Linked DNA regions of Chlamydomonas reinhardtii. The protein of the gene in region 1 interacts with the protein of each later gene in a pairwise test. Links are inferred from orthologs where the notes say so. Each region holds a gene or a part of one and is shown on either strand. Other genes may lie near its edges. The genes, in order: CHLRE_12g516500v5 and CHLRE_06g292800v5.

Region 1 (4,391 bases):
CTACAAACATTTGTCGTTCTATATGGTTAAGCCGTACGCAGCCACTTGATGCGCTCCGCTGCAGCCCCATCGCAACGTTGCTTTCCACAACGCCACCGCTGACCTCTGCTATCTCCTTCACCATCGCCATCGCTGCGCTTTACGCGAAGTACTCCGCCTGCTTCATTTTGAGCACCTTCATGATGCCCTTGTGCTCGCCCGCCAGCTCCGTGTACCGTCCCGGCAGCGATTTGAGGTACTCCGCCTCGCCCGCCCGCACGTCGCGCAGCTTCTTGGCGGGGCTGCCCGCCCACACCTCCCCGGACGGCACGGTGGTGCCCTCCTCCACGTAGGAGCCCGCGGCAATGACGGCACCCGACTGGATCTGCACGTGCAACAAGTCACCCGTGCAGCGGAGACCGAAGCTCTGTTATTAGTTTGCGGCACCAGGCCACAAGCTAGCTAGGCCCGTGGGGGGGCGCTGGCCCAGGCACCACGGCCACGTACCCGCACCTCCCCGCCCCTGCCTGAGGCACGCATTCACCCCCGTGTGGTTCCAATGCCACCGGTGCGCCACCACACTGTCAAAACTTGCCGTTGCCGGCAGGCCCCTCCTGCCCACCTCAGCGTGCTCCGAAATAATCGAGTTCATGCCGATGAGCACGTTGTCCCCGACCGTGCAGCCCTTCAGCACCGCGCCATGTCCAACCGAAACGTTGTCACCAATGGTCACTGGCCCGCTGAACTCGCTGGTGGCGCCCACGTAGGCTGCATCCTGAATGTTGCTGTTCGAGCCCACGACCACTGGCTGGAAGTCGCCTGCGCAGGGAGCCATTTGCCAATGTTTACATACATGGACTCATTATCATACTCCTGCATCATACACGGGCAAGGAGTCGACTTACCGCGAACGATGGCCCCATACCAAACGGAGCTGTTCTCGCCAAGCGTCACGCTGCCCGAGACCATGCCCGAGGGCGCCACCCAAGAGGTCTTGTCCAGGCTAGGCACGTTGTGGCGCATGGGCAGGACCGTGGCGTGCCGGTTCACTGCGGAAAATGGACCCACGCTTCAGTGCCTCTGCTTGGCATCGCAATACAAGGCTACAGCAGATGAAAATCATGCGATAGCTCACGCTTCTCCTCAAACGAGTAAACGCCCTGCAGCCTGCAGCCCACGCGCTCCAGCGCCTGGCCGCTCTCCCGCATGGCAAAGCCCACGCGATGCAGAATAGTCTTCAGGCCATTGATGGGATTCATGGTTGCTGAGGGCAAATCTTCAGGGAAGAAGGATGCAACTCTAATAGGCAAACACGCGGGCCTTCTGGCCCTGGTTCTTGCCTCAGTACAAAGTAATATACCTAAAGACACTAGTTTGTGACTGCACCAGCGTTGAGAGGGCATATGGGGCAAGAGTAGGACAAGCCCATGATGCAGAGCAAATGTTTTCTTCTGCCTCTCTTCTGCACGATTATCCAGTTGCTCCTAACCGCATTTCGCTTGTTATATCCAGTGTCATACATCAGCTCGCGTCACGAAACATACTCGCGAGAAGCAACATAGCGCGTTGCACAGGTTCTTTCGCTCGCGTTTGCCACGCGTGCAGTTTCCGGGGAATGGTTGCTGTTCAATAAAACTTGCGAGGAGCGGGGATGTCAGCAGTAAGAGGCAAGGGCGGGGCCCCGCTTGGGGGTCTCGCCCCTGTCGCAGGAAGCGCGAACACGCAGCAGGCGAAGAAGCTGGTCATCAAGCCGCTTAAAGGTGCGGTACGGGGTCCCTCTTGCTGCATCTGGTGCGCTCTACCCGAAAATTACGGAGTGGGGGTTGTGGAAAAGGTTTTGTGGCTCGCCCGGTCACGCGTGTGTGCGCACCCCTGCCTACCCCTCGGCGCTGCCCAGTCAAGCCCGAGCTCCCCGCCAACTTCGAGGAGTCGACATGGAGCAAGCTGCGCGATTGCATCATTGCGGTGCATTGCAAACGCCCCGTGTCCAACAGCCTGGAGGAGCTGTACACGGTGGGAAGTTCGGCCGGCCGACCGGGCTCTGTTCTGAGGGGCGCCGAATAAGGTGTTGGATTGCGACGAGGGTTGGGTTGCATGGCAAGCTGGTACACAGGCATCGTGTACGGCGTACTGGCGCCGGCGCCGTCGGTTGCATGCAACCAACCTGTCCGAAGGGCCCGCTGCTTTCCGCTGCCGTGGTCGCATGACTGTGTGTCCCACACCTCATGGCCGCAATCACCCCCCGCAGGCGGTTCAGGATATGTGCATGCATAAGATGGCGGATAAGCTTTACACCCGCCTGCAAAAGGTGTGGGGCGGGCTGGCGGGCTGACGTTGGGGCTCGGCCTTGCTTCACGCGCAGCCCTATTCGCACAATACCTCACACCTGCATAACCTGCAACCTCACACGGCCGGCGGGCCTCAACACACGCCACACGCCACGCCACATGACTTATGACGATACCCGACATAGGAGTGTGATGCGCACATCGCGGCGCACGTGGGCTCGCTGGGCGACTGCCTGGGTCTGGACGCGGTGCCGTACCTGGACCGTGTGGACAGCGTGTGGCAGGACCACTGCAGCCAGATGCTGCTGACGCGGCAGATCTTCCTGTACCTGGACCGCACGCACGTGCTGCAGCTCAGCAGCAGCGCCACGCCCGTCAAGTCCATATTCGACATGGGGCTGGCGCTGTTCCGCACACACCTGGCGGAGCGGCCGCAGGTGGGCGGTGGCGGTAGTGGAGGAGGACGGGGGAGGTGGCGGCTGGGGGACTGGCAGGGACTGGTGGGAGAGTTGAGGGCTGCGAGGTGGGGCCTAAGCTCGCGGCGGGGCCTGCGGCCTACGGCCACGCAGGTACAGGTCGCTGGAGCTAGGGCCGCGCAGGTGGTCGACTGCGCGGCTGTGTATGGGCGTGAGCGGTGGTGCTGCTGGTGGCCCTGCCAACATGCCGTTCGCCCGCCTGCTGCGCAGATCAAGGAGCGCACAGTAGAGGGGCTGCTGGAGCTGGTGCAGCGGGAGCGCTGCGGCGAAGGCGTGAACCGGGCCCTGCTGCAGCGGCTGCTGCGCATGCTGTCCTCACTGGGCATCTACACGGACGCCTTCCATGAGCCATTCATGAAGGTGTGGCTGGGCTAGGGGCTTGGCGCAATGGTGCTCTGGAGGAGGCAGGGGCGGGGTGAGAGGGCGGGGGGGATGCGACATGGGTACCGGGCGGAGCGGGACATGCCGGAAGCTTCATGCCGTGGGCCGTGGGGCATGGGGAAGGGGGAGGGGTGCGAATGCCGGAAACTGTGTCACTGGCGCAGGCAATTGGTTGTTGGTGGCGTGTGTCTAGCGCGGCGTGCACCACACCATGCGCATGTGCCTGTGCGTGTCCGTGCCTACCTGCAGGCGAGCGGGCAGTTCTACCGGTCCGAGGGCGAGCGGCTAGTGGCGGAGCTGGACGTGCCGGCCTACCTCAAACACTGCGAGGTGCGGCCAGGAGCAGGGGCAGAGGCGAGGCCTCGGAAGGGCGGTTTATGTACCAAAGCATTTGGGGGCGGGTAAAGCACCTGCGATGAGGTGCCTGCCCGCGGTCGCACCAGCCTGCTGCCATGTCACGCCTCGTTACTCCTCCCGCACACACCATGCTTCCGCCTCCTGGTCCTGCCCTCCCCTCGCCCTGGTCCTGCCCTCCCCTCGCCCACGCAGACGCGGCTGGGCGAGGAGTTTGAGCGCTGCAGCGAGTACCTGGATGCCTCCTCGCGCCGCCCGCTCATCGCCGCGGTGGAGGGCGCGCTGGTGGCGCGGCACACCGGCCCGCTGCTGGACCGGGGGCTGGGGCCGCTGCTGGACGGGCACCGTGTGGGTGACCTGGGCCGCCTGTATGGGCTGCTGGGGCGGGTAGGCGCGAGCGAGGCGCTGCGGGCGGCGTTCCGCGAGTACGTGCGCTCCACCGGCCTGGCGCTGGTCAAGGACGAGGAGAAGGTGCGGAGGCGGTGGCGAGCGGAGCAGGAAGGGCTTGGGGTGCAGGAGGTGACGGGCGGAGGCTGGCTGGGCCTAGGTGTGGAGGCTGCTTGCGCGTGTTGCGCCATGCGGCCCATGCCAGCATGGGAGCTCGCCGCTGCTATGTCGCGAATGCACCGCTGCTCCGCCCCACTGCCTCCCGCTGCCCCCGCCCCCTGCTGCAGGACAAGGAGATGGTGGAGCGGCTGCTGGACCTCAAGTCGCGGCTGGACGAGGTGGTGGCGGGCGCCTTCGGCCGCAGCGAGGCCTTCGCCGCCACCCTCAAAGAAAGCTTTGAGTACTTCATCAACCAGGTGCGATCCGGTGGGAGGCGGCGGGGATGGCCAAAGCCCGGATACCGTAAATGGCGAGGGGCTGGGGCGGGGCGGGGTTGGTAACGTCTAGTTCAGCGGGTGCCCTGGTA
Region 2 (4,294 bases), on another chromosome or scaffold:
CCGGCAGTGCCCGCGGCAGGTGCGGTCGCGGCGCTGGCGCTGTTGGAGTCAGGCGCGGCGCCGGCCGCTGCGGCGCTACTGAGCAGGGTGCCGGCCAGGGCGCCGGTCTGCAGCAGCCGCCGCACCTGCGCGACGGTCTGTTCCAGGGTCGTTCCGGCTGTGGGTGCTGCCACGGTGTCTGCCGCAGGTGCGGCCACTGCTGCCGTCGATGCCGGGTCAGCTGCAGAGGTGGCCGCTACAGCCGGCGCTGGCTTGGGGCTAGCAGCCTTGGCCGCTGCAGCGGCCGCAGCCGCAGCGGCGGTGGCTACCAGCGGCCGGCGCGGTGAGGCCGGCGGGCTGCGCAGCAGCTGCGACGCTAGCAGAGGCCGCGCGGTCGCTCGCGAGGGGCTACCGACCAGCACCGGCGACACAGTCGCCGGCATGGTGGCGGCAGCCGCGGTGGCGCCGATGCCGGCTGCTACAGAGGCAGTGCTGCTGTCGTGCGGCTGCAGCTGGTGCGAGGCGTCAGCCGGGCCGGCGCCGGGAGCTCCGTTGGCGGCCGTGGAGGGCGCATCGGTCGTGCCGTTGGCGCTGTCGCTGGAGGTGGCGGCCGGGGCCGAGTCTTTAACTGGGGCCAGCGGAGAGCGCCTGGGCGACGTGAGCCGCAGCACCTCCTCGGCGCCTGCAAGCACGGCGGCGGCGGCCGCGGCGACGGCCGGCTTGGGCGTCCGGCCTCCCTTCTTCGCGCGCTTGGCCGCAGGCTCATCGATCTCCTCCTGCTCGGTGCTTGCATTGCCGGGCGTCAGCGCTGGTGCCCCAACCACACCCTGCTCCGCGGGCACCGACTTCCGCGGCCGGCCACGTGGCCGCTTCGCGGGCTGCTCTTGTTGCTGGGGCTCCTCAAATGCCACGGCCGGCTGCTGCTTTGCAGCCGACGCGGAGCTGTGCCCTCGTTTGCTCACTGTCGCTGCTATAGTTACTGTGGCGTCCACAGCCATGACGTCGCCGTGCTCTTCCGCGGCAACAGCGACCTCTGGCTCAGCTGCTCGCGCCTTGGACGCAGCTGCACGCCCGCCTCTTGCTATTGCCGGCGTTTGCACAGGCGCTGCGACCTGGGCCCCATTTGCGGCCGCAGCTGCACTGGCACGTCGAGTCAATGTCATCAGTACTGACGCTGCCAAGACTCGCGCGAGGCGCTTGTTAGAAGAAAGGGCTGCGACGGTTCACGTAAATGCTGCCCTACGTCTGCCCTACGTGCCTTGCACCTGAGTGCTTGTGTTTATCTGAAGATGTCAAGGTCTCAGACGTTGTCCCCGGCGTGTGTCACTGGTGTTGGCTCTGCGCGCTTGCTTTGAAAACTGAAAATGGCACTCGGCTACCGCTGCCCGGTCTGCTACGTGGGGACAGTCTGTCAGGGGATGAATGTATATGGTGAGGTATACAAAGGTAAATGGCATTCAAGGTCTGCAACGCTGCCTACAGGCCCGCTGTCCATTTTCGCTGGATTTCGAGTTCCCGGGCTCATGCGCGGATGCGCCCCAAATCATGGCCATCAGGTCATTCCACCAGCTTCCACATAAGCTGTGCCACCAATTATATAACTTACAAGCTGGACACTTCTAGGGCAGAAGAGCGAGCCTCAGAACTCCAATTTCAAGACGTGAGAAGCACTGTGAGCCACTGTGATAGTATTCAAACCATCCTTGGCGCTGCATTTGGCGAGGAAGTAGAGGATGAAGGGCAGCCAGCTCTCCTCATCGGCGAAGCGCATTCAGAAGGAGCTCGCAGAGATTAGCTTGGACCCGCCCTGCAACTGCTCGGCTGGGCCAAAGGGTGACAACCTATATGAGTGGGTGTCAACGATTGTGGGACCATCAGGTGAGGACAAGGTCGCAGCTGAAGAACCCTTGGGTTGCGCGGCTGTGCTGAGCCTGCTGCTCCCACTTGAGTGCAGGATGCCCCTACTCGGGAGGCGTTTTCTTCCTAGACATCACCTTCCCGCACGACTATCCGTTCAAGCCACCGAAGGTTAGAGCTCTGGCTGGGGCCCCAGCTGTCGGCATTCGCGCTGCTTTGTGAGGCAATCGCCTTGAACCCTTCTCGCAGACGTACGGGATGATAACGTTTGTGTACTAACCTAGCGCGTTTGGGCTCGCGGGTGTCACGCCGACGCGCAGATTGTCTTCCGCACGCGCATCTACCACTGCAACGTGAACAGCCAAGGGCAGATTTGCCTGGACATCCTCAAAGACCAGGTGCGCGATGCTGGATGGCGCAAAAGGGGGAGGTCTGGCACGAGGCCTGCCAGGCCCACTCGCTTCGCTTGGGCCTGCACCCAACCCAACGGAGGAGCTGACCCTCTCCCCTCCTCGCCTTTGTATACTTCTTCTACGCAGTGGAGCCCGGCGCTGACCATCTCTAAAGTGCTGCTGTCCATCTGCTCACTGCTCACGGACTGCAACCCCAGTAAGGAACACGTTACGAGCGCGTGTAGCACCAACTGGGATATGTGTGGCAGGTTGTTCTAGGCTAGTTGTTGTAAGGCAAAGTCAATGGCGGGTGTCCAGCCGCAGCTGGCCATCACGCAGCACGAATCATGCGTTGTTGGGAGCGTGGAAGTGCAGCGCTGCCACAGGGGCTGCAGTGCTGCGCCGTATTGGCACCAATCACTTCCCGCGCCCGACGCACATGCGGCTGCGTTGCATGCCTCCCCACTCACGGTTCATCCGCACCCTCCTCCCTACCTTTCTGCGCTGCTGCAGAGGACCCGCTGGTGGGCTCCATCGCTAAGCAGTACATGGAGGACCGCGAGCTTCACGACAAGACGGCCGCGGAGTGGACCAAGCGCTACGCGCAGGGCTAAAGGCCCGACCGCAACAGCAGCAATGGCTGCGGAGCTGTAGCAGCCAAAGGAGCTGTAGCAGCTGTGGTGCAGCGTAGAGGCCATGCGGGCGCGCAGCTCGGCGCGCCCGGTCTCGTGCGAAAGCTGCCATCGCGCTTCCCACCCGCACACGGGGGTGGAGGGCTGGGCTGAGTAGGGTATGGCGGCAGGGATAGTTCGCAATGGGAGATTTGGCGCTGGCCCATGCGCGCCACGCTTGTATGCACACCAGCATTTATGCTTAGGAGTCACGTCTGACTGCAGCAGGAGTTGGTCGCGCGATGGCAGCAGGGGCTTTCACGCGGCAACTGGGAGATGGCGTGCACGTTGCAGTTTTCCGCTGTGCAGCGTCCCAACCGTTTCGCGTGTTGTACTATTAGGATTGCGGTGCGTGAATCCTTGCAGGAGTACATGTAGTTAGGTCAATGCGGACGGTCGATGCGGAGTGCCATGGCATTGGCCAGCAGGCCGCGTTGGCATGGTGTGTGATGGGACAGGGTTTAGGCAGGTTGGCGAGGTCCCGTAGGGTGCAGCTGACGCCCATACCCCAAGCAGACGGCAAGCCAGTTGCAGCGGCAGAGCAGAAGTGCATGGCTGGCCGCGTTGGCATGGTGGTGAGCATATCGCTTCACATGCGGCAGAGCGAGTCAGCCCACACCCTTATTTGACGGCTGAGAGCGGTCGTCGGCACCACCGTGTACGTGAGCTGGTGCTAGGCGTGGCAGGTCTAGGTCAGGTCTATCTGGCATTCAGCCCTTCAAGGGACGCCTATACTGTTGTTAGCTGGCCGCCTCTGTTGATTGTGGGTGATGAGTTGTATGTTTGCTAGGCATTGCAGGCAGCAACAGTCACCCCATGCTCACCCAGAGATGAAACGCGTATAATTTAATACACAAGGGATGCACAACACACCGCGCCGTACAACCACGAAGAACAGGGTGACCCCTCGAGACCCCGTTGCAGAGGGTATCGTGCGTGGGGCGGTCCCACAGGACCAGCAGCATGACCGGGTCTTGCACAGGAGTGCCCAGCGCCCGTAAGCATGCAGTGAACGCAATCAGCGGATGGATGCAGTGATGCGGTCAGGTGCATTGGCGGCGGAGGGAGCGGACAAGGGTGTGCCTGTTGATGGGTAACACGGGTTTGAGCAATGCAACGCGTCGCATCAGCGAGGGGCGGGCGCCGGGCGGGTTGGGGTGTTGCTTGTCCTGGCTTGTCAAGTTTCCCAGTCCGTGGAACCATGATGGGCATGAGGACGCAGCTTAGGGCCATGGGACCCAAGGCGCAGTGAGGCCGCATCTACCCCTGAAGGCCTGAACCTCCAAGGCTCCAGCTCAAACCCCACCCCTCCCTGCCTGCTGCTGTCAGTGGTGGGCTTCACTGTGCTGCATAGCTCGTGCTCTCGCCCTGGCCCCTGGGCATGGCCTTGCGCCC

Evidence for each region.
Region 2: the proteins of CHLRE_12g516500v5 (region 1) and CHLRE_06g292800v5 interact in binary tests that used the Arabidopsis thaliana proteins (3 or more experiments, as listed by UniProt). The link is inferred for Chlamydomonas reinhardtii from reciprocal best matches to the Arabidopsis thaliana genes CUL4 and FUS9.

What each region holds. Positions count from the first base shown.
Region 1 is NC_057015.1:3,956,451-3,960,841, forward strand, and holds the start of CHLRE_12g516500v5 (uncharacterized protein), read left to right. Parts: upstream 1-1,492; 5' UTR 1,493-1,630; coding exon 1,631-1,739; intron 1,740-1,876; coding exon 1,877-1,992; intron 1,993-2,227; coding exon 2,228-2,287; intron 2,288-2,452; coding exon 2,453-2,704; intron 2,705-2,953; coding exon 2,954-3,103; intron 3,104-3,373; coding exon 3,374-3,454; intron 3,455-3,673; coding exon 3,674-3,949; intron 3,950-4,152; coding exon 4,153-4,281; intron 4,282-4,391. Other genes in the region: CHLRE_12g516450v5 (uncharacterized protein), read right to left, coding at 140-364, 602-798, 885-1,028, 1,115-1,238. UniProt on the Arabidopsis thaliana protein: Component of the CUL4-RBX1-CDD (COP10-DDB1a-DET1) E3 ubiquitin-protein ligase complex which mediates the ubiquitination and subsequent proteasomal degradation of target proteins. Participates in the CDD complex to light-mediated control of development.
Region 2 is NC_057009.1:6,457,443-6,461,736, reverse strand, and holds CHLRE_06g292800v5 (uncharacterized protein), read left to right. Parts: upstream 1-1,575; 5' UTR 1,576-1,712; coding exon 1,713-1,857; intron 1,858-1,933; coding exon 1,934-2,007; intron 2,008-2,156; coding exon 2,157-2,234; intron 2,235-2,375; coding exon 2,376-2,445; intron 2,446-2,741; coding exon 2,742-2,842; 3' UTR 2,843-3,762; downstream 3,763-4,294. Other genes in the region: CHLRE_06g292850v5 (uncharacterized protein), read right to left, coding at 1-977. UniProt on the Arabidopsis thaliana protein: Component of light signal transduction machinery. Involved in repression of photomorphogenesis in darkness by participating in the CDD complex, a complex probably required to regulate the activity of ubiquitin conjugating enzymes (E2s).